3 linked regions of the Caenorhabditis elegans genome follow. The protein of the gene in region 3 purifies or fractionates together with the protein of the main gene of each other region. This does not show direct contact. Each region holds a gene or a part of one and is shown on either strand. Other genes may lie near its edges. The genes, in order: Y49G5A.1, gpa-10 and hrpf-2.

The links.
Region 1: the proteins of hrpf-2 (region 3) and Y49G5A.1 fractionate together in Caenorhabditis elegans (co-fractionation; one large-scale study listed by BioGRID). This does not show direct contact.
Region 2: the proteins of hrpf-2 (region 3) and gpa-10 fractionate together in Caenorhabditis elegans (co-fractionation; one large-scale study listed by BioGRID). This does not show direct contact.

The regions. Positions count from the first base shown.
Region 1 is NC_003283.11:5,283,533-5,292,946, forward strand, and holds Y49G5A.1 (BPTI/Kunitz inhibitor domain-containing protein), read right to left. Parts: upstream 3,842-9,414; 5' UTR 3,829-3,841; coding exon 3,697-3,828; intron 3,381-3,696; coding exon 3,269-3,380; intron 3,223-3,268; coding exon 3,161-3,222; intron 3,118-3,160; coding exon 2,875-3,117; 3' UTR 2,811-2,874; downstream 1-2,810.
Region 2 is NC_003283.11:6,849,386-6,859,939, reverse strand, and holds gpa-10 (Guanine nucleotide-binding protein alpha-10 subunit), read left to right. Parts: upstream 1-5,128; 5' UTR 5,129-5,136; coding exon 5,137-5,198; intron 5,199-5,244; coding exon 5,245-5,352; intron 5,353-5,535; coding exon 5,536-5,674; intron 5,675-5,727; coding exon 5,728-5,888; intron 5,889-6,292; coding exon 6,293-6,461; intron 6,462-6,511; coding exon 6,512-6,601; intron 6,602-6,650; coding exon 6,651-6,804; intron 6,805-6,846; coding exon 6,847-6,928; intron 6,929-7,110; coding exon 7,111-7,216; 3' UTR 7,217-7,419; downstream 7,420-10,554.
Region 3 is NC_003282.8:6,370,410-6,382,086, reverse strand, and holds hrpf-2 (RRM domain-containing protein), read left to right. Parts: upstream 1-5,563; 5' UTR 5,564-5,564; coding exon 5,565-5,667; intron 5,668-5,711; coding exon 5,712-6,005; intron 6,006-6,057; coding exon 6,058-6,195; intron 6,196-6,323; coding exon 6,324-6,468; intron 6,469-6,565; coding exon 6,566-6,630; intron 6,631-7,304; coding exon 7,305-7,537; intron 7,538-7,585; coding exon 7,586-7,779; intron 7,780-7,829; coding exon 7,830-8,490; 3' UTR 8,491-8,953; downstream 8,954-11,677. Other genes in the region: shl-1 (BTB domain-containing protein), read left to right, coding at 1-284, 853-961, 1,068-1,283, 1,551-1,727, 1,816-1,918, 2,320-2,512, 3,120-3,201, 3,251-3,328; bli-6 (Nematode cuticle collagen N-terminal domain-containing protein), read right to left, coding at 3,979-4,791, 4,900-4,980; smg-3 (MIF4G domain-containing protein), read left to right, coding at 9,000-9,260, 9,308-9,486, 9,542-9,753, 9,803-10,032, 10,085-10,177, 10,222-11,094, 11,146-11,492.

The sequences.
Region 1 (9,414 bases), on a different chromosome or scaffold from region 3:
ACGGTCAGAGTCACTAATTTTGGTGAACGGTCAGAGTCACTAATTTTGGTGAACGGTCAGAGTCACTAATTTTGGTGAACGGTCAGAGTTACTAATTTTGGTGAACGGCCAGAGTCACTAATTTTGGTGAACGGTCAGAGTTACTAATTTTGGTGAACGGCCAGAGTCACTATATTTGGTGAACGGTCAGAGTCACTTTATTTGGTAAACGGCCAGAGTCACTAATTTTGGTGAACGGTCAGAGTCACTAATTTTGGTGAACGGTCAGAGTCACTAATTTTGGTGAACGGCCAGAGTCACTAATTTTGGTGAACGGCCAGAGTCACTAATTTTGGTGAACGGTCAGAGTCACTTTATTTGGTGAACGGCCAGAGTCACTAATTTTGGTGAACGGTCAGAGTCACTTTATTTGGTAAACGGCCAGAGTCACTAATTTTGGTGAACGGTCAGAGTCACTTTATTTGGTGAACGGCCAGAGTCACTAATTTTGGTGAACGGTCAGAGTCACTTTATTTGGTAAACGGCCAGAGTCACTAATTTTGGTGAACGGCCAGAGTCACTAATTTTGGTGAACGGTCAGAGTCACTTTATTTGGTAAACGGCCAGAGTCACTAATTTTGGTGAACGGTCAGAGTCACTTTATTTGGTAAACGGCCAGAGTCACTACATTTGGTGAACGGCCAGAGTCACTAATTTTGGTGAACGGTCAGAGTCACTTTATTTGGTAAACGGCCAGAGTCACTAATTTTGGAGAACGGTCAGAGTCACTATATTTGGTGAACGGCCAGAGTCACTAATTTTGGTGAACGGCCAGAGTCACTAATTTTGGTGAACGGTCAGAGTTACTAATTTTGGTGAACGGCCAGAGTCACTTTATTTGGTAAACGGCCAGAGTCACTAATTTTGGTGAACGGTCAGAGTCACTATATTTGGTGAACGGCCAGAGTCACTAATTTTGGTGAACGGCCAGAGTCACTAATTTTGGTGAACGGCCAGAGTCACTAATTTTGATGAACGGCCAGAGTCACTATATTTGGTGAACGGTCAGAGTCACTAATTTTGATGAACGGTCAGAGTCACTTTATTTGGTAAACGGCCAGAGTCACTAATTTTGGTGAACGGCCAGAGTCACTATTTTTGGTGAACAGCCAGAGTCACTATACTTGGTGAATGGCCAGAGTCACTAATTTTGGTGAACGGTCCGAGTCACTATATCTGGTGAACAGCCAGAGTCACTAATTTTGGTGAACGGCCAGAGTCACTATATTTGGTGAACGGTCAGAGTCACTAATTTTGGTGAACGGCCAGAGTCACTATATTTGGTGAACGGTCAGAGTCACTATATTTGGTGAACGGCCAGAGTCACTATTTTTGCCAGAGTAACTATATTTAGTGAACGGCCAGAGTCACTATATTTGGTGAACGGCCAGAGTCACTATACTTGGTGAACGGCCAGAGTCACTATTTTTGGTGAACGGCCAGAGTCACTATATTTGGTGAACGGTCAGAGTCACTATATTTGGTGAACGGTCAGAGTCACTATATTTGGTGAACGGCCAGAGTCACTATTTTTGGTGAACGGCCAGAGTCACTATATTTGGTGAACGGCCAGAGTCACTAATTTTGGTGAACGGCCAGAGTCACTCATTTTGGTAAACGGCCAGAGTCACTATATTTGGTGAACGGTCAGAGTCACTAATTTTGATGAACGGCCAGAGTCACTATATTTGGTGAACGGCCAGAGTCACTATACTTGGTGAACGGTCAGAGTCACTATATTTGGTGAACGGTCAGAGTCACTATATTTGGTGAACGGTCAGAGTCACTATATTTGGTGAACGGTCAGAGTCACTATATTTGGTGAACGGCCAGAGTCACTATATTTGGTGAACGGCCAGAGTCACTATATTTGGTGAACGGTCAGAGTCACTATATTTGGTGAACGGCCAGAGTCACTAATTTTGGTGAACGGCCAGAGTCACTAATTTTGGTGAACGGTCAGAGTCACTTTATTTGGTGAACGGCCAGAGTCACTTTATTTGGTAAACGGCCAGAGTCACTATATTTGGTGAACGGTCAGAGTCACTAATTTTGATGAACGGCCAGAGTCACTATATTTGGTGAACGGCCAGAGTCACTATACTTGGTGAACGGCCAGAGTAACTATATTTAGTGAACGGCCAGAGTCACTAATTTTGGTGAACGGCCAGAGTCACTATATTTGGTGAACGGCCAGAGTCACTATTTTTGCCAGAGTAACTATATTTAGTGAACGGCCAGAGTCACTAATTTTGGTGAACGGCCAGAGTCACTAATTTTGGTGAACGGCCAGAGTCTTAATTTTTAAAGTAATGCAAACGTAGTAAATCTCCCAATAAAAAAATGCGGTCATATTGCATGAAATTTAGTTTTTTTGATCAAACTGAAAGCTTCTGGCACCTGGAAATTTTTGTAATTAAATTCTGAAAGCGCTTAAAATTTGTCCCTTCTAGGACTTTTTACATAAAAAGCAGGATGGTTCTAGAATTTTCTAGAAACTCTGGAAAAGTTTTAGAATTTTCTTGAAATTCCGCAAAACTCCAGGAAAAGTGTTGACTGTACAAAAATCTTACATTAGCAGTTTAAAATTTATTAAAACAATTTACCGTACGCCAGTCGGAGCACGTGCAAACGGCTGGTTTTTTATAATATGCTTCTACATTAAATTTTTCATTTAAAACAGTGGGATATCATATACAAATCGATAGCTTTGTATATTTGCTGGAGTCCGAAAATCTAAAGATTTCAGACGAATTGTTTGGAAAAGGTTATATTAGTTATATTAATTCATTAATAAAAAAGTTTATATAGATAAACATGCACGGCCGAAAATAATTAATTGCAGCAAGTGGCAAAATATGTTCCCTCCACACAGGTTGCTCCAGCTGGACAGAACTTTGATTTGCAACTCTTCCCAACAATCGTTGTAGGGATTCCACCCTCGACAATTTTTGCAACTTTCTTTCCTTTTGGACATTTTGGCTCATAATCAGCTTCAATCAACTTTTCAATCTTCTTGTCACAGCAAATATTAATATGATTAGAGTACCTACAGATACCTTTTGGCCCACATTCTTCCTGGAATTTTTACAGATTTTTTCAAAAACATGGAGCAACTTACATCGGTTTGGCAGTTTTTATCGTTTATTGGCTTACTTCCAGCGGCACATCCCGATTGATCATCTAAATACTTTGGTTTAAAGTAAAAAATTCAAATGAAAAAACATACATCCAGTACATGTAAATCGACATTCACTCTCAGTTTTGAAATTATTCTTGTTTCCTCCACATCCACTGTACTCAAAAGCCAATGGGATATTGGATTTTTGGTCAAAGTGGTACTGTAAATTATTAAGACTTTATACTTTATGAATTTTATGAAATAAAAATATTGAGAAATATGTTTAGTTTCTGAAAATAATTTTGCTTTTGTTGAAAGTTTTGAAAAGTTGAAATTTTGAAAAGACTTACAGTCTCAGTGTTATTTCGGCACGTTGACTTTTGAGTCAGTTTTTGAGCAAATTCTCGGAATTTTCAATTAAACGTATAGCTATTTTCAGAAAGTACCAATGTTTTTCTATATTTTTTTCCAATTTCCAAAAATTCCAAAGTTTCCAAAAAAAAGCGACATGAAAGCTTTGAAAAATCAAAACTCACTCTTATCTCCTTCTTTCCATTTTTACATGGTGTTTTTCCCATGTCCAATGGAAGTTTGCACTCCGGTTGAAGTGTCGAGACTAACTCACTGACACACAGAATAGTAGCCAAAAAGGTAAGAAGAAGATTCATTTTGCAAAATTGACAGAATAATTGAAATGATCACCGTTTTATACTACTGGAGAAATGGATAAACACGTTGAGAGATAAAGAAATCGAATGACTATACTCAACACTTCCTGGTTTAGATAAGAAGAAGGTCAAACTGGATAATGTTTGGTTGAAGTTCTAGTATAGATTCGTTTAGAAAAATCCGTAAATCTCTTTCAATTGTCGAATGCTAGCTGACAAAACACCCAGAAATCTTCCAATCTGAAATTCTACCTAAAAGTCCAATAAAACAATTATTAATATGGTTGTGTGGCCAAACCATCTAAAAAACTGTTCAGCAAATTTTATAAACGCTCTTGGTATCACCGTGAATGATTCTTTGAATCACTTCCTGGTCACAGAGATTACCAATACGGAGATCATAAATGCCATTTGAAAAAAAGAAATTTTAAAATAGGCTACTACAAAAAATTGACAAGTATTGTGATCAGGATAAAATTCTATCTGATTATTTTTCCAGTGCAAATTGCTTCAAATCAACGATGCTCGAGCTCGACAAATTTCGAAATTTGCAGCACACCAAAAATTTGACAAAACAATTTTGCCCAAAACTATTGAATTTGTCCCCTAAAATTTAGTAAAATTCCACAAAATGGAGTTAATTTGATGTTTAAGCTGACACAGCTCACGAAACTTATTCAGAAATCAGATGTGTGATATCTTTGGTGCTCCAAAATACATCTAAAATATAACATTTTTCCGGAGTCTGTTGAAAACGGCAAATTTGCCGAGTTTGCCGAGCGCGGCAAATTTTGAGATTTGCCGCACATCCCTGCTCCAAATGTGGAAGCCTTTAAAAGTGATCATATTTTTTTCAGAAAGAAAAGTTTCTTGAAAACTCCTATAGTTGTTCACATGTTTTACAAAACATCTGAAAGTCAAGATTATATATGAAAAACTACTCTAACGCAATTTTTCTTTCTGCCACCTATTCACTTTTTCCAAAAAGTTGGGAAATCTCTTGGACATAATTTTCTAATTTCTTAACCCAACTCAAAAGCCTTATTTGAGAATAGACCTCGAGTAACCTAAATTCTCCGGTCCACGTGCTTGTTTATTCCGTTCATGCGAAGTTTGTTCCTAAAATTTTTTTAATATATCCTCTGTAATCCCCCAGCTAAACTCACAAATTTCCGATTCCTTATTTGCTTTTCATGTCACTTCGACGTCTACTTTTTTCGTTGCAGTTGCTTTTCTCTGAAATTCTCCGCAAAAAATAACAAAATTTTGTTACTTGTTACTTTGTTCGCCGTTGATTGAATATGTGCTATGGCAACTCTTTCTGAGTTGTTGGGTTCAAGTTTTGGTAATTGTATGTTTTCAAAAAAAAACTGAAAAGTAAGGTTTTGATTTAGAACGTCAGAATAGAAAACCAAAACCCAAAAAATAAAATAGAAAACAAAAAAAAACGAATCATTATAGTCAAGTCTCTATTGCGAAAAGCAGCTACTATTAGCCTATGGGGTCAATTTGATTATCTGCCTTTGCCTAGTCGGTGTTTTCCCAGCGCAGAATCCACTTTGCTCTGCCTGTGCTCCAAAAGAGTGCTCATTTTCAAAAGACACACATACACTCTTCTCATTTTCTCGTTTTTTTGCTTCTTGTTTCTCATCGTCCGGTTCTTTTTTTTTCCACTTATCATCTACACTTCCTTGATACCATGGCTTATTTAGTGAAGATGGCTTATTTAGTGAAGAATTCATGACATACTGAACGAAAATGTTGCAATGTTCCTCTCTGGGAATAATATTAAATTTAAAGGTGTTGATTTGTGAATTTTTTCGGAAACACTCTTTTTTGAAATAATAAATATTTTAATCAAGGGTGTCTGTTTTTCGATTTTTCACAAAATCCGATATTTCGAAAATAAATTATATTTTTTGCTTACAATGCTGGATTTTTCTTTTCAGAAGAAAATTTTATTTTTTGCCATCAACAAAATTCGATAAAAATATAGATTAAAAAAAAAATATATATAAAAAGTATTCGCCAATTCCTGCTCACACTAATTTCCATGTTTGAATTACCTCCAAAATAGAGAGAAACCATTTCCGTACCAATCAGATTGAACTAAACACACTCCGTCTGATTGGTTCACACATGGGCGGAGCAAATCGCTGATTGGTTGCACTTTTCGTTTTAGAGGAAATTCAAAAAAGGAGATTACCGAGAGTTCGAAATTCGTAATTTCAGAATTAGGACTTTTGAAAATTTTTTCCCATTTTCGAATATTACTGTATATTCAAAGTATTTAGAAAAAAATCTACATTACTTAGAACTACCACAATGAGAAAAACTGAAAAATAGTTACTAATATAAAATTTTTAATAACTTATCAACACCGTAAAAAATAATTGTACAGAATTGTACAGTCAAAAAAACTTGTAAATGCTCTAGATGCACCCATTTTCAACAAATTCCAGCTATTTTTTGTTGGACGAATATGTTCCAAGGCGGTCAATCCGTCCAATCAACCAATTAGTTCTAATTCTCAACAAGAACAACGTGGATGAAAATGTCTTCTGATTCATTTTTTCCCTTCCTCCAGTCTTCCCCAAATGTCCTTTTCTTTCTCGTTATCCTTTGTATCCCCGTCATTCTGCTCCTTTGCTCCTTGGCAACATCTCATCAGTGCGTGTGGGGGGAGCTCTTCAAGATATTCGATTCCAACCAACACCACTCAAATTCACCCCTTTTATTCTCATTGTGAGAAGGCTTTGACATCACGATCAGAGATTGATGTTGTCTTATTTTTTTCTGTTTTTTATAAAGATTCTCACAAAACGAACATTTGTTTTCGTTTGATTTATATTCTGCAAATGATGTTAGTTTGCTCCGTTGCACTGGATATTGTTGGTTTTTTACTCTGCTTCATTAGATACGAGAACTGATATAGAGTAGGTTTTTCAATTTATTTCGCACGTTCTAGGTACATCTCGACCAAAAGCTGAAAAAAACTGGAAAAGAAATTTATAACCCATTTTCAAAAATTTTACTAATTTGTTTTACTTTTTTGTTGAACACGATTTTTGCTAGCCAGAAAATATCAACTTTGTTCTAAACCAAGCTACCGTTTCTTTATAGACTTTTTCGTTGAGTTTATGAAACATTTGTCACCTGACAAAATGTTCACTACTTATTTTTCTTGAGTTTTGTATTCAACCACTTTGCAAAATTTTCAAAATGAACAGAGTGGTATGTGTACTCAAGTAGAATAGCCGGGTGCAAGAGGGAATACGGTAATATATACGGTAAAAAATAGAATCCGGGTGCAAGAGGGAATACGGGAATACGGTAAAATATTTTTTGGGCAAAACTAGGGCAAGTTCTGTTCTGTTGGAGTGCTTTTGGAATTTTCAGAATTTTGAGCAATTTGCCAACAGTACTTCTTCATTCCGATTCATTTCAAATAGTGCCCAAAACCCCCTAAAAGTGTACAAAGCCGTTAAAACATAAGCTCCACAGCTCTGGCTCATTCGTCGACACTATGCCCATAAATCGCGCGTGCGGAGATTCTTGCTCCTGGAAACGCGTGAATGAGCTGCTCCGGCATTCCGTTTATAGCCCATCCTTTTTTTCTGGTTTTGTTCTTCAGGATTCATAACCAAAACATGTACATTCAAATTTCCAATTTGTTATAAAATACCTAAACCTACCGTAAGAAACCATCTATTTTGAGCATCTTTAAAATGAAACATTTTTAGTATGTTTTTGTCGTTTTGATTCAACAGTTCTGATTCTATAAATTGGCGGCTTTAAACTTTCAAATTTTAAATTCCACTGTTTCCGCCATTTGTTTCTCTGATGTACCATATTTTCCAAAAGTGAATTTCCTGACACCATCTCTTCAGCCATAACTGGTCTTTTTCTTCTTTTTTCTATCGGTTGCTCATTTCCATAAGCGCCCCGTCAGACTGGTTGCTGCTGTTGTCCTAGAATTCCCGCGGGACATCCCCCCTACTCTTTTCCATTTTATTCCTTTCGTCCCTATTCCTCTATCACGTGTCCTAACACTTACAGATGTACTCGATATTTATTTATTTATTTTCAAATTGATAAGAAGTTATTATAATAAAAGTTGTAGGAAAAAAAAAGATTCACACATTCTGTAAAATCAAATTAACAAATTTTTGATGATGCATCACAACCTAATCCAATTTTTTTCTTTCAGCTCTATTTCCGACACATTTTCTTTTCCATCAACGCCTTCTGATTTTTCTCAAAGAAAAAAGAAACATTTGTTGTTCACAACGTCATAGCCTATGAATGAATCGGTTGTAGAAAATAAGGAGGAAAAAAAGAAAGAAAAGTAGAAATTGAGAAGGAAAAAAGAGAAGAAAAAAGAGTCGCGGAAAGAGAGAAGCACTTTTATGAGTGAGAGCTCTTCCTTTTAGAGAAAGTGGTTTTGGTGCTCTATTAACTCGCCAATTGTCAACCGTTTTTCACCTCTCAACTAGTTAATTTTTTTCTGAAATAATGCAGCTTTTTGTAACCTATCAAACTTTTCAAAAAAACCTGATGTTACAAAAGATTAACCTTTCAACTTTTCACCCAAATTTCCTGTAATCATCAGTAGCAGACAGGATATTAAATTTGAATGATTCATAGCCAAAATGGATGGAATCAAAATTTGCAAAAAAGTTCGTTCAGATTTTCACAGTTTGAAAAATTGCAAATTAGTCCCGCGCAAACGAGCGACCTAGTTTCGGCCTTTTTGGTTTTCAGGCTATATTTAGATATTCTCTGTTTTACAACTTGAAGCATAGTTTTTCACATTTTTAGACGTTTTTCCGTAAAGAAAACATGATCACCAAAAAAACATTTTACGGAATCTTTATATTAGGTTTAAAATTAACATTGAAACATTTATGAAATATTTTTGTAGAAAAAGAAGACCAATGTATTATCCCGCAATACAAAAAAGTCCAAACTAGATCAGGCATTTGCGCGGGAATTCAAAAATAATTTTGCCCTTCTAAAATATCTTGCCAACTGTGATTTCTTTAAAAATATCTGAAAACTTTTATAAATTTTTTCACAGTTATATTTGGTACCATTTTTTCCTTATAGAAATTATCTAAAAATTAGAGTTTTCGGTTGTTTTGTTGTAAATTTTCAATCCGATCAATCTAAAAATATTTTCGTTTTCCCTTGTTGCAAACCAGTTTTCCAAATCCATTATTTATTCTAGTAAGCACGAAACTAGTAATTTTGAGCCTATTTTATTTTTATTCTACGTCACCAAAATTGTAAAGTGCACCGAACCCAAAGATCTTCCAACGCCCTCTTTTTTTTTAATCTCATTACCATAATTTACTCATTCCACCTCCCCCATTATTTCAAAACTCAAATTTTTTGACTCTTGACCCTTGGAGGAGTTTCGTTCCGATAAAAAACAACAACCCAAAACGTTTTCCATCCCACACACAAACACCATCTTCAACAACTCTTTGCCGTTTTTCCTATTCCTATCGAAACACACACTTCCTGAATAATTCATCTTGCCCTTCCTTCCTTCCTTTTTGCTGCTATCTTTGGGAGCTTTTT
Region 2 (10,554 bases), on a different chromosome or scaffold from region 3:
TTTGTGAGCTATGCATGCTTATTGGAACATTTTTTAAAATCAGCAAAAAACCAAAAATTCACATACCATATAATTTCGAGAATTTATATTTAAATTGAGAGCAACACATTTTTTTATCATGAAAACTAAATAAAAGGAAAACTGACATGAATGCGTTGGCATTTGAAATTCAATAACAATTCGACCATTTTTGTTTTTTTTTAATTTTTTCTCAATGTCCGAGATTGAGATTGATTCACAAAAAATCTGGAAAATGTTGCATTAAGCTTCAATACATTATTCTCTATGGTCTTTAAAACTTTAGCAACCTACTCTATTTTGGTCATTAAACGCTCAAGTTGATACATAAATTTTGAAGAAAAATATAGCGTGGAGAGGAAACGTAAAAAAAGAAAGAATGACGTTTTCTAGAAATTCGGCTAATTTTAAGAGAAAAAACTTTGAATGAAAAAGAGAAGTTAGATGAAACTTCAATGGAAAAAAGAAGACGTCAGTATGTTCTCCAAAAAAACGGTTCCGATTGAAAAAGGACACCAGAAAAACGGAAATCTGGAGCTTCCGGAGAACCATTTAGAGAAAAGCTAAAGAATAAAACGGAGACTTGTTGGAATTTATTCAAAAAAAAAATGGAATTGCATTCTGATGAAATTTGGTTTGAATTTTGAGAGGTCTTTATAGATTCGAGAGACTTGTTGAAAAATGAAGTTGGTGGGCATGGCGGCTGAAAAGAATTTGAGATGAATTGGGCAAATTATTTATGGTTTGTTAAAGCATCATGTCACTTTCGGGAAAAAATTAAAAGAACAATATTTTGGGATAAAAAATTAATTTTTTTCCAGACACTAGCATTTAAAACTAACTAAGTACACACCTCAAAAAGTACAAGAAGTATTATTATAAAATTAGCAAAAAGTTTTGAAGAAGTAATTTGAAATGTTATATCAGAAAATTTATTATTACTTCAAAAATGACTTATGCAGTTCCTCTTGCCTGCATCTGCAAAGTTTTTCTTCGAAAATAGTGAAAGTGTTATTTCAAGCGTTGCAGATTTATATTTGCTACTTGAAAATGGAAAACTCTTGAAATTAATTCCTCTGAAATTTTGAGTCCCAAGAAATCAGTCCTTATAGTCCTGAATCATGTATCTACATCGTACCAATGAAAAAAAAAGTATATATTATCTATTTTTATAACTTGGACTACAGATTTTGTGTCCATTTTTATTCACTTCTGTCCTACACATCGTTTCGTATTTTCCCAAAGACGTATCAAACACGATTTATATTTCGGTTCATGGTGATCAAAAAACCTCCACATTTTGAAATATTTTTAGAAGACAGATGTATTTTAACTGTTCCACCTTTATCACAGAAGGTTAGATGCTCTAACAATTTTTCGGTACCCCTCATACAAAAAAATATTTACATTATTTTTGTTCCTAAAATTTTTTCCCAAATAGTACAACATCCTAAAACCCTGAGAGTTAGTATTAACTTTTTTCTTAAATTATTCGCAAAAAACTCTCACAAGTTGCGGTGGTGTTACCTGATTTGTATGACAAACAACAATGGGAATGTGACGCGCTTTTGATATTTTTTAACTTATTATATTCTGAGGTTTTCTGCGCAACAAGAACAAAAACTTTTATTCTTGCTATTGTGGGAGAACTTTATCACTTTTAAAGTTAAAAACTTTAAGCCAAAACTATCTCAATCTATCAAAAAATTATTTACAACTATCACAATTCGAATTTTTGGTATAAATTTTTAAATCTTCATTTTTTCCAAACATCAGATGTTTTAACTAAGTTATTTTCTCCATTTCATAGATTTTAAACACTGCCATGTGTTCTCAAAATTGTTTTTACATTATTTAGCTTTCCACTCAGTACTTTTGCAAAATCGAAGAGATTTTTCCCATTGTATTTCCATAATGGTTTTTTTGCACAAATCAACTTTCATTTATTAGCATTTGAGTCAATTTTCACCTGTTTTTTATGTACCCCAAGAAACAAAAATCGCGTTTTCTAGTAAAGTCACTAGAGGCAAGATTTTTGAAAACGAATTTGTATATTTTTTTTAATATTTTCTTAACATTTCAAATGACGTTCACAGTGTTTTCTAACGTTTTTGCTGTTCATTGAAAAATCAGAAATCACTGAACCAGCCGTGCTGTTCAAGTCAAAATGATTCATTTTGACTCAGCGAGCAACACACACACACACTCCCCCACTCCTAATTTACGACTTGATTTTTAATAATTCTCATTTAGTGTTATTTGATTTTTGCTGCATTCATTTCAAATCTTGTACTTTCAAATCACGCTCATTTTTTGTGCTTACGTTTTGGTTTAATGCTCCATTGAGCCATCACAAGCTTCCATATTTGAGATATCATTTTTGCGACGAGAGAAAAATCATGATGTGAGCCAATTTGTTGTTGATTAGCTCTCATTTTTGACAGTGAGCATTTGTCAAGTGACCTTTTTTTAATTTTGTAATTTCTCAAGAAATATGCATTTCGACAAATACTTTTTTTTAAATTGAATTTTGAATACTTCCTTTATACAAAGACTTATGTACAAGAATTTAGAATATTCATTTTTATTGATTTTTTTGTGTCTCGTAGGGCACTCATTCAATTCCTTATTCCGTTTATGCAGGTGATACATGAGTTCACCAAACCAAAAACAGTTTTCCAGACAACGTGTCTTTCATTTCTTGGAGTTCCTAAAATTTTGATTATTCTAGTGAACGCCGGGAGATTTCGTTTGGCGTAGGAAGTGTGATAAGTAATTTTGTTATACTCTTTGTATATCAAACAATAGAAGTTCAGAACAAAAAAAAAGTTTCGGAAGTGATTCTAATCCTGAAGCTGAAATTTTATTGTTCATTTTTCTTAAATTTGAAGAAATTAAAACTTCCGGGAAATTAACTAATTTTTAAAAATCTGTACGTTTCTACAACTTCTTTCACCTCAAAATTCAAATGCAAAAACTTGTCAGTTTATCTAATTTCCTAAACACTTCGAGAGTGGGCATTTCATAGGTACGGTCGGTTTCTGGAATTTACCCTGGTCAGCGAAAAAAAAATCTGCTCGTGAGCAAGAATTCTCAAAATTGGAGATTCTGGTTCCAGCTGGTCGAAAACATAAATAAAATACGTTGTCTGACTTTTTTTTTGCTATAAATATCTCTAAATGTTCTAAAGTCACCATATTATCCCAGACAAAAATTCCATGATCTGTTTATTAATTTTCACAAAAAAATTTAGGTGATAATTCTGACATTTGTGATCTGAAATCGTTTAAAAATTATTTTGAGGTTCGTAAATGTAACTTCAAAAATCATTCTTATCAATGTTTAATTCCGGTCTTTCCAATATTTCATACAAAATGAACGAACTCCGAATTTGGCTTGATTTTATTTTAATCTTGGCATCTTGTGGTGCATGATTCGGCAAGAATAATTCAATATCAGAAAGTTCGAACATAATTTTTTTGCAATAATCTTTCCGCTTTTATTCGTTTTCAGACTCACAAAGACATTTAACTCATTTACTTTTTATTATTTTAGCTAGTGAAGTTTGAGATTTGGTCCCAGTGTTATTATTGATATCAAGACCAGATAAACTTGTTTCCGGTTTAACTCACAACAAAGCTAACGATTTCCGTTTGCGTGTCGTTTAAAAAACTTTACTCAATTGGCGTAGTTCTCTCTTTTTCAAAACGCTTTTCTAATCTATCTATTTTTCTGACCAGCTATCATAAAACCATAGCAACATAAATGTTTCCCTATAGAGCATCGGGTATTCTGTTTTTTTTTGATTGATAATATAAATATATCTCCCTCTAACCCAAATACACAACCAACAATCACATTATCTTTTTTCCTTCTTTTTGATCATTCCCACGCTCAAGTAGTCTCGCGATTTTTGAGTGTATTTCATTCAACATGCAAGTCAGAAGTTGTTCTCGTGTTTTTGTTTTGTTATTCACCTTTTAGTTTCTTTGTTACAGAGAGGCTTAATTGGGAATCTGCGGTAGTCAAGGAAACCGGGGGGAGAGGACCGCCGCTAATCATCACTACCTTCCTTCTCATTTCATTTAATCATAACTTTGCTTTTTTCCCTTTTCTTCTCTCGTGTTCTCCACAACTTTTTTTTTACATTTTTGTGTTGTCACGACTTTTAAGCCTATGTGATTTTAAATTTGTGTTGAGCTCATGCGCTTTTCGGAAAAATTTTGCGAACATAACGATTACAACTGGTTTCAAACAAAAATGTAATTTATCGCCATTTCATTTAAATATTTCTTGACTTTGACGGGTAGTGAAAAAGTGTTCAGATGTTTTTCGGTGAACCAAAATCTGTGGTTTTAGAGAAAGTTTCCAAATGTCATTTTGAACGTTCTTGAAAAACTGGTTCATCTTTAACATTGAGACAAAAAACAATTTGTGTTAAAGAAAAAAACATCCCAATCTAAAGTACAAATCTACAAATCTAAAGTAACTATGTTCTTCACGTGCTACCATGTTGCTTTTTCATGGAAAATTATGGCGTCACACAAGGTCTTGAAATTTAGGATTTACCTATCTCTCTTTAAGTCTAACAAGTTCTTTCGAAATTATATTGTCGTTTCTAGTGTTGATGACTTTTGAAAATTAGTCAACGAGTTTGGTTTCATCCCGAGTTACGTATCTATTTATTTTTTTTTTTTGGTACATATTCAGTTTGTCGCGCGGCTTTGAAATACGGGTTTCAAATAATTTTTTTTGAAGGAATGTTCTCTTGCATTGATGGATTTGAAAATTCTCATGAAAATAGTAACTTTTTTTGACGAAACTTGTACATTCTCTCTGAGCAATACAGTGGAAATTGACTTTATTTCCGGTGTGAAATCTACATTTTCGTTGCCGAAAAGTCTGTTCAGTTTGTCTCGACAAGCTTTCTGAAACTTTTTTTTTGGCATGACAACATGTTTTGTTTTTTTTTTTCTGATTAGTCATTTCATTTGTCTCGTTGTCTAAGTTGAATCTCGCTGGCATCCTATAATTAAAGTTTGCGTTCTCTATCATAATCGTCATAATCTTTGAATTATTTTTGTTCTTTCAAAAATTTCAATATATGTTCAGGGAAACATGGGGGTCTGTCAGTCATTTGTACTCACTGACGAGATGAAGGATCAGATCAAAGTTAACAAGTCAGTTTTTGAGTTACATGTTTCATAATTGTCGTTAATATTTCAGAGAAATAGAAAAACAGCTCGAAAAGAAGAAAAACATGCAATTGGAGCAAACCGTTCTTCTACTGGGGCCTGGTGAAAGTGGAAAAAGTACTGTCATGAAACAGATGAGGTATATTTGATTTTTTAATAATTCTTGTACATGACCTAATATTTTGAATTAACAACGGGAAAATAAATAGGTTTCTGATTATACCTTGGGAGTTGTGTCTGTTTCTTTCTGTTTACAGTTTGAAAATTAATTAATAACTATTATATTTCCTGTTATATGGGTAGCCAAACATTCTATTTTCAGAGCCATGACTGGAAACTACACAAAGACAGAACTACACGAACGAAAAGTGCTAATTATACAGAATTTATGTCAATTTTCTGAGATGTTGTTAGAATACGTCAGAGAATATATTTTGGAGATGACGGAAGACGATGATAAAGTGAGTTTTGCGACCTCTCGGGTTTTATTAGGTTTCAAATTAAAAACTTTTAGCGATATACTGTGATGTGCGAAGAACTGAAAATGGCGGTAATTCATGATGGAATAATGAGACCTGAACTCGCCGATACACTGAAGGAATTCTGGGGAAACAGTGCAATACAGGACGCGTATTCCAAGAGAGACACATTTCATTTGACAGATAGTGCCAAGTAGTGAGTTTTTTTTTTGGAAACTTGTAGCGCATTCATAGTTAGAATTATAGAAAAATGTTTCAATTGATTCAAAAACACGTTTCAAAAATGTCTGAAATGTTTCTTAAAATATTCTTTTATGTCACACAGTTATTATTTAAATGTTTCGAGTTATGTATATGTTTGTTCGTTCACAAATAAAACCAAACTACAGACATTGTTCGTGTATCTGTCATTTGGTCTAACGGAACATGTAATTAACAGGTCTAGAAAAAAAAAATTGTGATAGTGATCGCTGAAGTCTATGATGTTAACTTGTTTATGTTCTTGTTCTAGCAGGCAAATTTTGCAATAAAAAATCAATTGAATAACTACATTAAATTATCTCAAAATTGTGTTATTTGAACTTAATAATTCATTTTCAGTTTCTTCGACAACATCGACCGTATAAAATTGCCAGGCTTTGAACCGACAAATCAGGATATTGTTCACATACGGGTACCTACAACGGGAGTTGCACAAGTCGAAGTTATTATGAACAATATCAAATTGATGATTTGCGATTGTGGTGGACAACGATCTGAAAGACGAAAAGTTGGAAATTTAACTATTTCTTTGTTTCCTAATTGAGAATTTAATTTCAGTGGTATCACTTTTTCGATGAGGCTGACGCTGTTCTTTTTGTAGCGGCTATTAGCGAGTTTGATCAGAAGTTAGCGGAGGATGAAGAGACGGTAATTTTTCCAAACAGCCACAAAATTGAAACGAAAAATTAAATTTTAGAACCGTATGCATGAATCCATCAGATTGTTCTGGACAGTTTTTAATGGAAAGTTTTTCAAAAAAGCGGCAGTCATACTTTTCCTGAACAAAATTGATTTGTTCGAGGAGAAAGTAAAACATGTGAAGATTAAGGATTACTTTCCAAAATTTGAAGGTTTGTTTTCCAAGTTTTTGAATTCATAGTTTCATGTTTCAGGAGCAAACACAGTTTCAGAAGGTACAAAGTTCTTTCGGAGACAATTTAGAGAAGGGATTCACCCGGACTTCAAAAAAAGAATGTGAGTTTTTGAGACTACAGTTTTGTGTCTACTGCACTTTTGAAAATCTAACTATGAACTTACAAACTAAAAGAATTCTGAACGTATTCGACTTCTTGGATATTTTTGACTTTTTTGTGCCAGTATGGAACACTAACAGTACTAGAAAATAAAATGTAAATTTCAAAAACGTAATTTTACAGGTACACCCATGAAACATGTGCAATATCGGATCAAGTTCAAATAATCATCAATACAGTGATAGATACAGTTATTCAAGATAATCTCAAAGATACGGGAATGATATGAACTCCAATCGCTCTGCACAAATTATTGTTCTTCAATTTAGTATCTGCCTCAAACAACGTGTGTGATTAGTAATAATTATTCCCTATTCTATTTGAGTGGTGTCATTTTTTATTGATTGAAATTTATCGTGACTGAAACTCTGATGAAAATTTGTACTAATTTTCAGTGTAAAGTGAGAACCAAATAAGATTAAAGGAACATACATATTTATTCGAATCTCTTTTAGAAGAAAAATGTTCAATCGTTTTTACCTGACTTTTCACATCTTCTCAAACAAAAACATGCGACAAGATAAATGGACAGAATTCCAAAAATATACGGAAAGATAATAACAAGGTATACATCTAAAAGATTTCTTTGAATGAATCCAAGTGTCCTCCCATATGGATCCATTTCCGGGAACGGACCAAATTTTGCAACAAATTCAGTGTATTTGACTACGGTCTCCTTGGGATTTGTTGGTTGGTTTCTCAACATTTCTGCCAGTTTTTTAGAGTTCTTCTTAAAATGATCGTCGTTCAAAATTGAATAAATGGAATTTTTCACAAGTTCCCTTTTCCAAAGATCGTTTCGACTACAAGAACTCCTCCATGTCTTGCCAACATCAAAGAATTTCTGTTTTGATCGGCAAATACTGGTACCATTAATGCTGGTTTACCAAGATACGCAAGTTCAGTTGTGCTACCAAGACCTCCATGTGTCATGAATGCTGTTAAACGGTCATCATTTAGTAATGCGGTTTGAGGAATCCATTTTGAAAAATGAATATTTTCAATTTCTTCTGCTCATTGCAAATCATTTGTTTCATATTTCCAAATAAGCGTTACATTTGGTAAAGATTTAATTGCATTGAAAATTTCGTCTCTGAAATACATATCTGATTAATATTTTGATTACAACAGTGTGAAAATTATTAAAATAATTATAACTTGAATATGGAGTGGAGTTTTTGGAGTTTTTGCCTGAAAAACTGGCTTGAAAAAAAATGAATTCATGGCTCGAAAACTTCAAAAAAAAAAAAAAAAAAACTTCATAAGAAATAAATTATCAAAATATGAAAAATAAGAAAAAAATATGAAAAATAAGAAATAAATTATCAAAATAAATAGAAGCTTTTAGTCAAATGTATCTCTTTTTCAAAATATGAACCTTTAAAATGTCAATAGTTTGATGCATTTTCAGTTGATAAGTAGGCAAATCTTTCAGCTTTTGTGAGTCTATCGACTGAACAGGAATGGTTCATCTAATAGAAGTCACCAGGTTTACATAAGTCAAAAAAAAAGAAGACGATGTCTACTAATATCTACATACGTACCTGAACTGTGAAGGCATATCCACATTATCAATGAACCAAAAGAGATTAGCATTGTTTGTGGTCTTTTATCCAAAACTTTACTCCACTCCACTGGGAGCCTTTTCGATTTTATTTCTTCCATATTCACGGAAATTCCACCAATTGGAACTGTCTTTTGGGTAATAGTTCTTGGAAAGTCTACATATGGAATTGAATTTGTGAAGAACAATGAGCAAGCTGGCATTAAATCTCTCCAATGTGGAACGCTATCTCCCAAATATTTTTTTGTAAATTTCAGTTTCTTTGTCCCAAACTCCAAAATCTTTTCTATATATTGCTTGTGTCATCTGATAGTTTTCCACTTTTTCAGTTAGACCCATCTTATCTCCACATTTGCTGTACATTCCAGGAACATAACTGAAATCGATAGATTCCCCAATCGTAGAAAGAACACCGTCGAAGAACATATACAACGATGCCATTATGATTTTTTCAATTCCTAGAGCGTGCATGTACCCGAGACCACAGACAAGTTGCGGTTCAAAGATTCCAACATCGAATTTTTTGGACTTCATTTCGTTAAAAACTATCCTGTTTCTCATCAAATTACTGCATGCCAATTTAAATGCGTCCGTGAAAACGGAGAAGATCTAAAAACTCAAAATACAAATAAGTTAATATTTTCAAGACTTTTTCTTACGGTGTCTGCGTTAGAAGAATCGACATCAGTGGTCCAATATTTTGTCATATCACCATCGAGTGGTTGATTTTCTCGGGGCATCTCCTCGTCTTGCTGACATTCAAATTTTGATAATGTGTCAAATTTAGTAAAATTAAAAGTGAAAATGAAGATCTTACAAAGGTTTTCTAAATTAAAAAAACCTACTTGCATCTTGGCAATTTTCTACTAGATTAAAACTTTTTTTAATATTTATGAGAAAAAGTTTTTGATAAAATTGAATTATCTACATATGTCTGGACTATTTGTTTTAAAAAATTGTAGGTGTTTTATTCTAAACTTTTTATTTTAGAAAAACCATATTTCTCCTAAATTACACAAGTATTTTGAAAGAATTTGCATATGCTAGAAAATATAAGAAAATGATGTACTTTAGGGTCATTTTTAAGACAACTTAATATACTTCTAGATTATTATAAGTTAGTAACTTACTGATCTAGATGGGTAACATTCGATAGATATCAAAAATAATAGAAATGATGACAAAAATTGTGGATTTTTGATTGTTATCGTTCGGTGTGATTTGTGACAGTATCTTTTACATATTGTATCTTGTAGTAAGCGCTTTTTTACAAAAAAACAACGTAATGATTACATCCGAGAAAGAAATGTACACTTCAATGTTCTGAAATTTCTAAATTCAGCGGTTTAATAAATATATTCAATACAATTCCTCAAGGCTTTCGTGGTATGTATTATATACAGAATGACATTTAATTAACATAATTAACTTTTAGCATAAAAACTATAAAAATTCGATTTTAAAAACCGGTGGGCACGTGGGCTGAAGCTCAAGAAATGTTTCCAAAATTAATTTTCACCCTGGACACGTTTTAAGCATGCTTGCCTAGGTGTCCACCTACGGCCTATTTCTCGGGTTTTGCACACACTGCGAGTTTGGTGTTCATACTTTGTAGCCTCCTTCTTTGATTTCAATAAATTGCTTATCAGCATTTTTGTTCACTTATGGGAAAATTGCGTTACCTAAATGAGAGGACAATGTCAGCTGGTCATTTTCATTTCAAATATCTTTTCCTGGAAAAAGTGTTCCCAGTGTTGGCCCTTTTTATATCATCTTCAGCCCTTAAACTCTAATTTCTGGTCATTTCTATATTCTCCCACACATATGCACATTCTTGTTTTGTACGTTTTCACGCCGCTTCAAAATACCGAACCTCGACCTTTTCGGAAAGGGTGGGCATGGACGGGGGTTAATACACAACTGAATCCAAATTCCTTTTCTGTTTCCAATTTCCAAAAAAAACGACGATTCTTGGTGAAGAGATGAGTGCATTTGCTGCGTCT
Region 3 (11,677 bases):
TTAAAATTGTCTCTTAAAGAGAAAATGTGGGCGGCATTCGAGAATCCGCACACAACATCAATAGCACTTGTATTTTATTATGTCATTGGATTTTTTATTGCTGTATCAGTGATGTGTAATATAGTGGAAACAATACCTTGTGGGTATGAGGATAATGTGTCTGTGACGTGTGGAGAAGCCTATGAAGAGCAATTCTTTGTTATCGATACAGCGTGTGTTATCATTTTTACGATTGAGTACTTTTTACGGTTGATTTCTGCGCCGGACCGAATCAAATTTATGAGGTACGTTTCTTTTAATATCAATATGTAAACTTCTCACACTAATAAGTTAAATATTCACTGATTTTATCAAACTCATTTGAAACAGCAATAAAATTTTGAATTTTCTAATTATCCAATTTTGACGCTTTTTGATTACCTATCGGCTTTAGAGACAATTTAATCAACCAATTATTTAATACAAAAATAAATTAGCAAAACGCAATTAGGAATAATAATCAAATAAAAACGAATTACCCAATGCTATGGGAAAGTTCGCGAAATTCAAGATTTGAGCTAAAATAATCGTAATTCTTTTCAAAATCTTGTGCCGCCAAAAAAAAATTGGAAAATTTTTTGAGAAGTCTCATTACAAAATTCAACCATTTCAGTATGACCCTCTAGCCCGTCTTTAATGCATTTTTATGATTTCAAAAGTTTTGTTCAAAATTATCAGTTCAAAAATATAGAGATGTTTCTCATAACAATCATGAAACTGTAAAATAATTAAGGACACATTTGTCAAAATTGGATAACATGTTATTTATTCGTCCTTATTTTTTTAACCATTTAAATGGTTTTCTTTTTTCAGGTCAATAATGAGTGTAATCGATGTGATTGCCATAATGCCTTACTACGTTAGTTTGGTACTAACTGACAATAAGGATGTATCCGGCTTGTTTGTCACTTTAAGAGTTTTCGTAAGTTTTTTCTTTTGTTAATCCTTAAATTGAATATCCAAATATTTTTTCGAACATTCTGATAAAAATCATTAATTCTTTGATCAAATCCTTCTAAAATTTACAGCGTGTCTTCCGAATATTCAAATTCTCACGACATTCCCAAGGTCTTCGAATTCTGGGTTACACTCTTAAATCGTGTGCAAGTGAACTTGGATTCCTTGTATTTTCACTGGCAATGGCAATTATCATATTTGCCACTATTATGTATTATGCGGAGAAAAAGGTCGACGCGACGAGATTTACCTCGATTCCGTCAGCTTTCTGGTATACAATTGTGACTGTGAGTTTTTCTTTGTAAAATTAAGAAACGGGGTTGAAATTTTGATTTTTACGTTAAATACTCTCCATAAAACCTTCAACGTTTTGCAAATACCTTATCCCAAATGCACTAGGAAAATGTAAATTTTAAAGTTAATATTTGCATTGGAAAAATTAAAAATTAAAATATTTTTTTTTTAATTATACAAATCACTGAAGACTAAAGGTGAAACCTATTCATACAACACAGTCATTGTTTTTCATAATAAAAAATTAATTTTTCTTTCAGCTAACAACTCTTGGATACGGAGACATGGTTCCATCAACAATAATGGGTAAAATAGTTGGAGGAGTATGCTCACTGTCTGGAGTGTTGGTTATTGCTCTTCCAGTTCCAGTTATTGTCAGCAATTTCTCTCGAATTTATCATCAAAATCAGAGAGCTGACAAGAGAAAAGCACAGAAGGTATGGTTTTTCGTTCAGTTGTAAAACCTTTTTAAACACTTAGTGATTTTTTTGCAAATTTGTTGGATTAAATTTAATCAATTTTCAGAAAGCCCGTCTTGCTAGAATTCGGATCGTTAAAAACGCGTCTGGACTAGCATTATTCAATAAGAAGAGAGCTCATGAAGCTCGGATGCTAGCATTTGAACAGGGTAAGTTGGTTTTTTTTTTCATTAGAACATTTCGTATTGCCGGCTTAAGTTAGTTATTATTGAGTTGTCACAAAAATATTTAACTTTGGAAATATAGAAAAGTATTCCATTTTGTTTTTCGGTCTCTTGGCATTTCTGTTGGCTCAAAAAAAGCAAATATAAAACATTAAAATTAAAAATTAATAAAAACAGTTCGTGATTCCGCTTGCTCAAGAGGGCACAAATTTTGAATCCGGTATAAAAAACAGATTCTGTGGTTTTTTTTTATTCCGTTTTTTTATATTTAATGTTTTAGGTTTTCGGTTACTTAATTTATTAGCAATGTGAAACATTAAAAAAAAATTATGTGTACAAAATTCTAGATTATAATTGAGATAACTCTAAAAAGTGCATTTTTGCAGGTCATCTCTCTTTCGATGCTCTCCGAGACGAAGATATCTTCGAAATCCAACATCATCATCTTCTTCAGTGTCTAGAAAAAGCGACGGAACGTGAATTTGTTGAATCAGAAGTGATGTTTGAAGGTGGAAGAAATACTCCTCCGCCCAGTGAAACAGCTTCATTGAAAGGAAAAACAAAGCGTAAAAGGCGATTGTGAGTTTTTGATTTTCAATCCTTTGAAGATTTATTAGTCTCTGGATTTCAGGGTAAAAAAATAAGAAAAAATTTTATACTATTCATCAATAAAATAAATTATCATCAAAAAAATTCACTGATGCTTTCTTTTCGTTAATGCATTTAAAATGGAAAATAATCATGAATGAAAATGAAAACTGTAGAAAATATTGTTGCGTTTTAAAATCCAAAATTCAAAAATATGCCTCTGCAACCCTGGCTAAGATGTCTGCTTGAATTCCCACCAAACATAGAACAAGGATATTAGGCAGCGTTGAAATACCATGTTTTCAAAAATTGTAGTTTCAATTATTTCTTGAATTTTTTTGAGTTTCTTCTTTGTCAGCAATATTTTGAGTATTTTAAATTAGAACCCCATTCGAAAAGTGAGTGTACCACGAAATGGTCTCGTTGGTGCAACTTTAGAGGGAATTCAAATAGCAAAATTGACAAAAGTGGAAAAACCTTAAATTCTTGATGTTGGATTTACTTCTTATTTTTGTCATTTTTCCTTGGTGATATTTTTGATTTTTGGATCACAATTTTGAGTTAAAACAACAAATCTCCTGAAATTTATTTTTTTTAGATGCTGTGTTTCAAAAGAAAATGAAGAAATGGAAGAGTTGGATCGAGAGACTCGTGTAACATTCAATCAGAATATGGATCAGGTATAAACTAACACCAGTTATTTGTTGAAAATTATATTATTAATTTCAGATTTGTGAATTACCAAAACCTGATGAAATGGAACTCAATCATCGAAATAATGACAAAATTTGCGTATCGCAACTGTAATCTACTTCTTTATTTTATTTTTTTAAAATGATTTCTAAAAATCATTTTCTATAGAAAATTTCTCTCATTGCTCTACCGGTTCCGTCTTTCTAGAAGCTAGTTGTTCTTTTACAAAAGTTTTCTGAAATCATCCCTCCCAACTATTCGGTTTCCCCAATCTCTCATCAACGATGCAATTTTGTTTTTTTCTGTAATTTTTACTTTTTCAAGTTAGAAACAAATATATTTCCATTGAACCCGTTTCCCGAAAAACTTCATATCGCTCTTTTTCTTTTTCAGTTCGAGGTGACTTTTCTCTAAATTTTCCCCGCTACTAGGAGCCTCTCCGATGATCTGCCCATTGGTGGCAGATGTCTTTCATTTTTTTTTTGATTTTTCAGATGGAAATATAAAATTGAAGTAAAATTAACTTTTTATGTGCAGTTTTTTTTTTTTCAATTTTCCAGGTCTGTCGATAAAGTTTTATTTATTTTCTAATTTTAGAAAACCACAAAGGGAATTACTTTTTTTTAACTTAGTGAGCTGGTTCATTTGTATCAGCTCATTGCTGAAAAAATGTAACTGTACAACATTCCGCTTCATTCCAATTGCATTTTAAACTACAAAAAACTTTATAAACAGATACATAAAATAATGCAATTATCAACAGTTTATCGTCGGGTTCCGTCCTCAAAGAAGATTCCTCCATCGATAGCACAATACTTTGGACAGATTCCCTTCTCTCCAACACTTCCTGCTTGTCCGGCTTGTCCAGCTGGTCCTGGATTTCCATCAGATCCTGGTTGTCCTGGTTGTCCAGATGGCCCCTTTGGTCCTGGTTGACCTGGTTGACCATTTTGTCCTGGAGTTCCTGGTTGTCCAGGTGGTCCTTGTGGTCCAGCCTCTCCTGGTGCACCTGGTTCTCCTGGAACAAGTGGCTCAGATGGAGCATCTTGACCTGGGTTCCCATCTTGCCCTGGTGCTCCTGGTTGTCCATTGACTCCTGGTGGTCCCTTTGGTCCTGGTTGACCTGGTTGTCCATCTTGTCCTGGACCTCCTGGCTGTCCATCAAGTCCAGCATCTCCAGCTGGTCCTGGTGGTCCTTGAACTCCTGGTGGTCCTTGTGGACACGGTTTGCATGGTGGTGGGGTAATTGGGTCACATGGAGCTTGTGGTGGACGTCCTGGATTTCCAGGAAGTCCAGCTACTCCAGGCTTTCCTGGACGACCTGGCTTTCCTGGGGTACCGACGGGTCCAGCTGGACCTGGAAGACAGCATCCAGAGCAGGATCCTCCAGCGGCCCCAGCAGATCCAGCGGCACCAGAATCTCCGTAAGAAGCTTGACGGGCGGTACGGTTGGAACGGATCGAGGAGACCTCGTTGAGAATGTCTTTAGCAGAACCCTTACAGTACCGGATCTCGTGATGAATACCCTTCTTCACGTGCGAGACGTAGTTGTAGACCATCGGAAGTGTGATACATACCTACAAAAAAGTTCATAAATGGGTTTTTGGACACAGTTTAATTTTTAATTCACTTCCAAATTATCAAAGAAATCATAATATTAGTCTTGTTTCTACGTTTTTACTCACCGAAAGTACTGCAACAACACTGAATGTAACAGCAGCATAGGCCACAAAGCGATACGCTTTAACACGAGTCTCCACCTCCATTTCTGAAGCCGACAAATTGTGGCTTTGCCCGTTTCTCTTATATATTGTTCAGTTTTTCAACGGTTTTCTCAACATCCGATACGGCTATGCTAGTTTTGAGATTCTAACCGATGCGCTGTGAACGAAAAACATCACAAAAAATGGAAGGATAAGAGGTTTTTCCAATTTTTCAAAAGACAATCTTATCAGTTTACATATAATTTGTGATCTTTTCCGTTTCTTTACATCAACAATTGTGGTTTAGCATGTAAATTCCGAGTGAATGCAATCATTAATTCCTTTTTTATATTAATTTTTTATTTGGCCATGGCGCCACCAAATTTGGTTTTTTCCAGAGATGCAAGTCCGCAATGTGTCGTCAAGTCTGATGCATGAAGTTCACAAGGTAAACGCGCTCCACTGCACTGTGCCTTTATCTTTCAAATTTATTTTCCTCGCAGAAAAATTCCAACAGTTTGAATTTTAATCGTTTTTTTTGCGGTTTTTTGTCTTATTTTTCAAATAATTGTCAGTTTTCTATTTTTTAAATTCAATATTGACTACAACGACCCTCTTATTATAACGAATTTTATGCATTTTCCAGTATGTCGGAACAAACAACACAACCGACAACAGAAGACCAACAGTCGGCAGAAATAGCAGTAAAAGAAGAGGAAATTGCAGTGAAAACTCAATCCGCACCTGCAGGTTCGGTTTACTCGTAAATTAATCTTTTAAACTGAAAATTTCAGATGCTCCAGACATTCATCAATCGACAATTAAGGAAGCAGACGAATCAATGCCAACAAAAATTTCTTCTGGAGAACCACCAAGAAGCCAATATATAAGATTGCGTGGGCTTCCATTCAATGCTACCGAGAAAGATATTCACGAATTTTTCGCTGGGCTCACGATTGAACGAGTCAAATTCGTATGCACAACTGGACGCCCGAATGGTGAAGCATACGTGGAGTTCAAGAATACCGAAGAAGCTGGTAAAGCTATGGAAAACGATAGAAAAGAAATAAGTAACCGATATATTGAAGGTAGGCGTGATTCTAACTAGAAAAAAACATTATTAAAGCTATTTAATTTCAGTTTTTACCGTCGAAGCGGACGAAGCTGAGTTCGAATTTCGTCCAGATCCAGATTCCAATGGAGAAGTTAATCACGTTATTCGATTGCGTGGTGTTCCATGGTCTTGCAAAGAAGATGATGTTCGTAAATTTTTCGAAGGTGAGTATAATAAGTATGTAGAAATAATCCAAATAGTCTGCCGGTGAAATGTAATGTACAATGCCTAGATTCCCCTTCCCCTCTTGAATTTTTGGACGTTAACTTATGGGTTTCCTTATTCTATCCAGGGCTAGAACCACCACCGGCGGAAATTGTAATCGGCGGGACGGGTGGGCCGAGATCGAGACCATCCGGGGAGGCGTTCGTTCGATTTACGACGCAAGACGCGGCCGAGAAGGCGATGGATTACAATAACAGGCACATGGGATCGAGGTGGGTATTGATGATGATGATGACTTATGGTAACTGCTGATTACGGGTTCATTTTGGTGAATTTTTAATTTTTAAAAAGTAATTTGTCTTTTTTCAGATACGTTGAAGTATTCATGTCAAGTATGGTCGAATTTAATCGAGCAAAAGGTGGAGGATCGGGAGGTGAGATTACAGTAGTTCACTTTAAAGGCGCATACTTGCTTTTAGGCGGGTCTTGCCACGATTTCCAGTATTTTAATTAATACTGGACCTAAACTGTCAAAATGTATATTTCATGTGAAAACTGAAGTCCTTGAAATCTCGCATTCTAATTAGACTTTTAAAGTGCACAGAAGAAGACATGATGTACCAAAAAAGGTGTAATTCATCGCAATTTCACAAAATCTTCTTAAAGGCGCACCGGTTTATTCTGATGGGCCTCGGTGCGCAATACGGTAGATTTTCGCATTTCTGTTTTTTTTTTTTTTCTTTCATTTCTCAATGAAATTATTCAGTTTTTCGCCAATCTTGCCCTTCCTTTTTCTCATTTTTCTGATAAAAAATAGAAAACGAGACAAAATTCGCAAGAAAAGAAGTGATTTAATTCAAAAATGCAAGAAACAGCAGCAAAAATTAAATAAAAACTACCATATACTCATTTTCGCGCCAAGACCCATCTGAATGAGCCTTTATTAAAACATGTCGAAATATTTGAAAAGCAAATCTGCGCACATTTCTGTTACGGTGCACATCAAATTTCAACATTTTAAAAATTGTCTCTTGAAATGCTCATTTAGTTTACTATTTATTGATATAACAAATCTTGATAATAAATATTTTCAATTTTTATTTTACAGAATACTCGGCATCTTACGAAAGAACTGGAATTCGCCCACTGATGTCCGTGGATTCAGGATATGACCACGGAAGACGAGGTGGTGGTGGAAGATACGGCGACAGCAGCTATGATCGTGGTTATGATGACTACAATCGTGGAAGTTATGGCGGACGTCGGGATTATGGATACAATGGTGGACACGATCAAGGAGGTCGCAGTGATTATGGAAGAGGAGGCGATGATCCGCTGAGGGTATGAGTATTTTTCTGCGATTGTAAAATAAATTATTTTATTTTTCAGGTGTATATGCGTGGTCTTCCTTATGATGCTGATGATCATGCTATCGCTGCTTTTTTTTCTCCACTTCGATGCCATTCAGTCAAAATAGGAATCAACGAAACTGGTCGTCCATCTGGAGATGCTATTGCGGAATTTGACAATTACAACGATCTTCAAGTCGCTCTCTCGCGTAACAATCAAAGAATGGGAAGACGGTAATTTGAAATTTATAATCAGAACATGGAATAATTATTGTTATTTGTAGATATGTCGAACTGTTTGATAATCGTGGAGCGCCTGGTCCAATGCGTCGTCTTCTTTGGAAAGAAACAAGTGGCACGAATGCATCAGCTGCTCCAGCGCCTGATCCGATTCTTAACGGAGGAAGACGTGGCGGAGGGCCACCACAACGAGACTCTGGCTACAGGGCAGGTCCTCAAGCTATGCCACCATCATACAGAGAATCAAGGGATCCATATGGCCCACGGGAACCACGAGGATACGATATAGAACCCAAATATGAACCACGAGGCATCCCACCACGCAGTGCTCCAATTCGTGCACCACCAGCTGCGCATGGCCGGGCTCCTGATACGTGGGGAAGTTATGGAGCAGCATCTACTGGTCCGAGTTATGATCAGAGCAGTGCTGCCGGAGGTTATGCTGCAAGCTGGGATGCTTATTATGCTTCACAAGCACAGTCTGCGTATTCTGCAGAACCTGCATCCACATATCCCACAGCTGCTCATTCTGCATATGGATCAGGCGAATCATATTCGTATGGAGCATCTGCTGGAGGAGCTTACGATCGTCAAAGAGAACCTAGAGACTCACAGCCAACATGGGCTCAGCAACAACAACCGTCTCATCACAGTGCTTATGGAGGATGGGGAGCTGGAGCTGGAGATCATCGAAGTGGATATTAATTATCTTCTTTTTTTTCTTTTCACTTCTGACTTCCTTTTTTCTGTTCCTGCCAAAATCCCAGTTCTTTCGATTTTCCAGACAAATGAGCATTGTTCCTTATAATCTAGTGTATCACTTTACTTTTTTCTCTGTTCTCCGAGGTCTCGGTTATTTATTATCTTGTTCTCATGATTTTCCAACGCGAACGTCTTATTTTACCTCTGTTCTGTTCAACTATCAAAATATCATGCTTTGATCTTCCTACACAATTTTTATTAATTAATAGATTTCTGAATTTGAGACTTTCATTGTTTTTTTTTTCTGTATCCTTTTTGATATTTAATGGCTGTTCGCCCCGCGTTTTAATATGTTACAATTTGGAAATTCTTATTTCTTTTTAATTAGGAAATGAGACATGGATAATTATTTCACTTCTTGGTTGTTTCATAGAATGTTGGAATGTTCAATTATATACTTGAGTGTACACTTTATTTTGTAAAATGACGATTCTCTATCACAGTCTATGCAGATGCGGCGAAAAGTCGAGACATCATGGCTGGAAGAGCTGAAAAAGCGTGTAAAATATCAAGAAACAAGTCGTCTTCAAATGGTCGAGATTCGAGAAACTTTGCTCGATAACGAAAAAGAATTGCGAAGTTTAGATTCAACATTGAAAAAGACGACGAGTTTTATGAAAAAAGTGAAGCTTCTCAGTGCGGCCACTGTTCCACAATTAATTGAAGAATTATCGAAATTGAATTTAAGCAAATTTGTTGAGGAAATGGCGTCGGTGGGTTCTTGATTTCGAATTCCATTGAAAATCGGATAATTTTTCAGGGAATTATAGAGACAAAATTGAAGTTATCCGATATTCCGAAAGTAACAGAGCTCTGCCTTGCAATTTCTGCGAAATATTCAAACTTCAGTGAACAGATGGCTGGGGAATTCAAAAAAGTTCTTCCTGTTAAAAAGAGTGACAAAATTGCAAATGTTGCAAAATTGAGAGTGGATATTATGTTAGATTGCATTAATAAGACAGTTTTCATCTGAGAATAAATAAAATATTTCCAGCTTCCTCGCTGAACTTTGCCTGTGTGGAGTTTTCAATGAAAAGGAAGGACTTCAAGTTCTCGGTGCTGTATTAAGTTATTTGATTCAAACAGATAAGACTGATTTTGTCAATGTTGGATTATTGGCTACAGTATCTAGAACTGTTGGATGGCAAATTGCAAATATTGTGCCAATTCCAATGGATGATGCTGAAACGGTCGAGATTCAAGACGGTTGTTATCTTTTTAATCAGGAGCGTATATTCATTATCAATGTTTTCAGAAGAACTCCCTGAGTCATCAGCTCTCTCAGTTGAACAGAAAAAGTCGATTCGTGAGCTCTTCAAATCATACTACGATTCACTTTATTCGAAAACCGAGAAAACGTGTTCGGCAAGAAATAAGGCGATGAAGAGAGTTAAACGACAGGAAAGAAGCCGTGGAGACGCTGGTGATGAGGAAAAGACAACTTTGAATGATCTTCAGTCTGAATTGGATTCTCTGCGGAAAATGGTACAAAAATTAATTACCCAATAGGAAAATTTGAGAAAACCCCTCATTTTAGGCTATAGAGATATCGTCTGCAATCGGTGTGGAAATGAAACCGCTAAAAGAGGAAGCTAGTGACGATGAAGAGGATGAAGCTGCCAACTTGGAGGTTTTTTGATTCGACCAAAAACTTGAACTTATTCTATATTTCAGATGGGACGCAAACTTGCAGAAGGAGCAATCAAGCTGTGGAGTGATGAAGAGACGAAGGCATTCTACGAGGATCTTATCGATCTTCGACAGATGGTTCCCAAGGATCTTTATAAAGAATCTGAACAGAGAACTCTCAGCAAAGCGAAGATGGCTGAAAGGATTGAAGATGTCGATATGGAAAATATCAATGAATCCGGAGCAATGGATGCGAAGAGATCATCATTACAACGTGGAGAGTCTGAAAAGGAGACGACACCAGAAGATTCTCAACTTCAAGCTCTTCTCAAAGAAGCTGTGGATGCATCCGAAGAACGAGGAGTCAGCAAATGGCAAAGTTTTGTACTTGATTTGGATCATCTTGTCAGCAAGTACTCAACTGACCAAGCAGCTATTTATTTTGTTTCGAATCTGAATAATAAGGGTTGTCGCAAGAGGCTTGTGAAGCTTATGATCGATCCACCTCCGTCTCGGATCGATGTTGTTCCATTTTATGCCCGACTTGTCGCTACTCTCGAGAATGTGATGCCTGATTTGACAACTGAAATCGTAACTCAACTACTCGAGAAATTCCGCGGATTTTTGCAACAGAAACCATCGTCAGCTACTGCTATAATCAAAGTGGAATCAAAGATGGTTTGCGTGATGATGATAGCTGAACTGATGAAGTTTGGAGTAATTTCTCGTGCTGAAGGACTCAGTTGTTTGAGACAACTTGTGTATGATTTACGTGGACATTCTGTAGAAATGACAGCGACATTCATGGAATCTAGTGGTCTTTATCTGTATAGACATACTGAATCACATGCAAAAATGAAGAGATTATTGGAAGTTGTGAAGGCGAAACGAGAACGAATGAAAGATCAAAGACAAGCGGTATGTTTAGATGAACTACATCATAATATTAATTCAATTTCGATATTTCAGATGCTCATAGACAATGCGTATTTCACCTGCCTTCCACCAGAAGATTCAAAAGAAGAACGTCTTCGTTTGAAGCTAGACGAAGAGGATACTCCAATGAAACGATTTATTCGTCACATAATTCTGGATATCAATGAATCAACCGTTGATGTTTTCTTAAAATGTCTTCGGAGGCTTGAATGGTATGATCCAGAAGTTGCTGATTATGCAATTCGTTATCTCTCCTCCACGTGGCTTCTTCCCATTGAAAATCTTCAACACGTGGCATCTGCGATTGCTGGTCTCTGTAATTTGGTACATCTTCAATGGATTGGAATGGCTGTAATTGATTCAACAATTGAAACTATTCGGTATGAACGATTTTCGATAGAGATGTGCGGCACATTTACACAGAAATATATATATAACTTTTTTTGTACTTTCTGAAAAAAATTGCTCTCAATGAAAAGTTTCGAGGCATTGCCCATTGATTCAAATCAGGGGTGTGCGGCAAATTTGCCGAATTTGCCGAACTTGCCGAGCTCGACAAATTTTG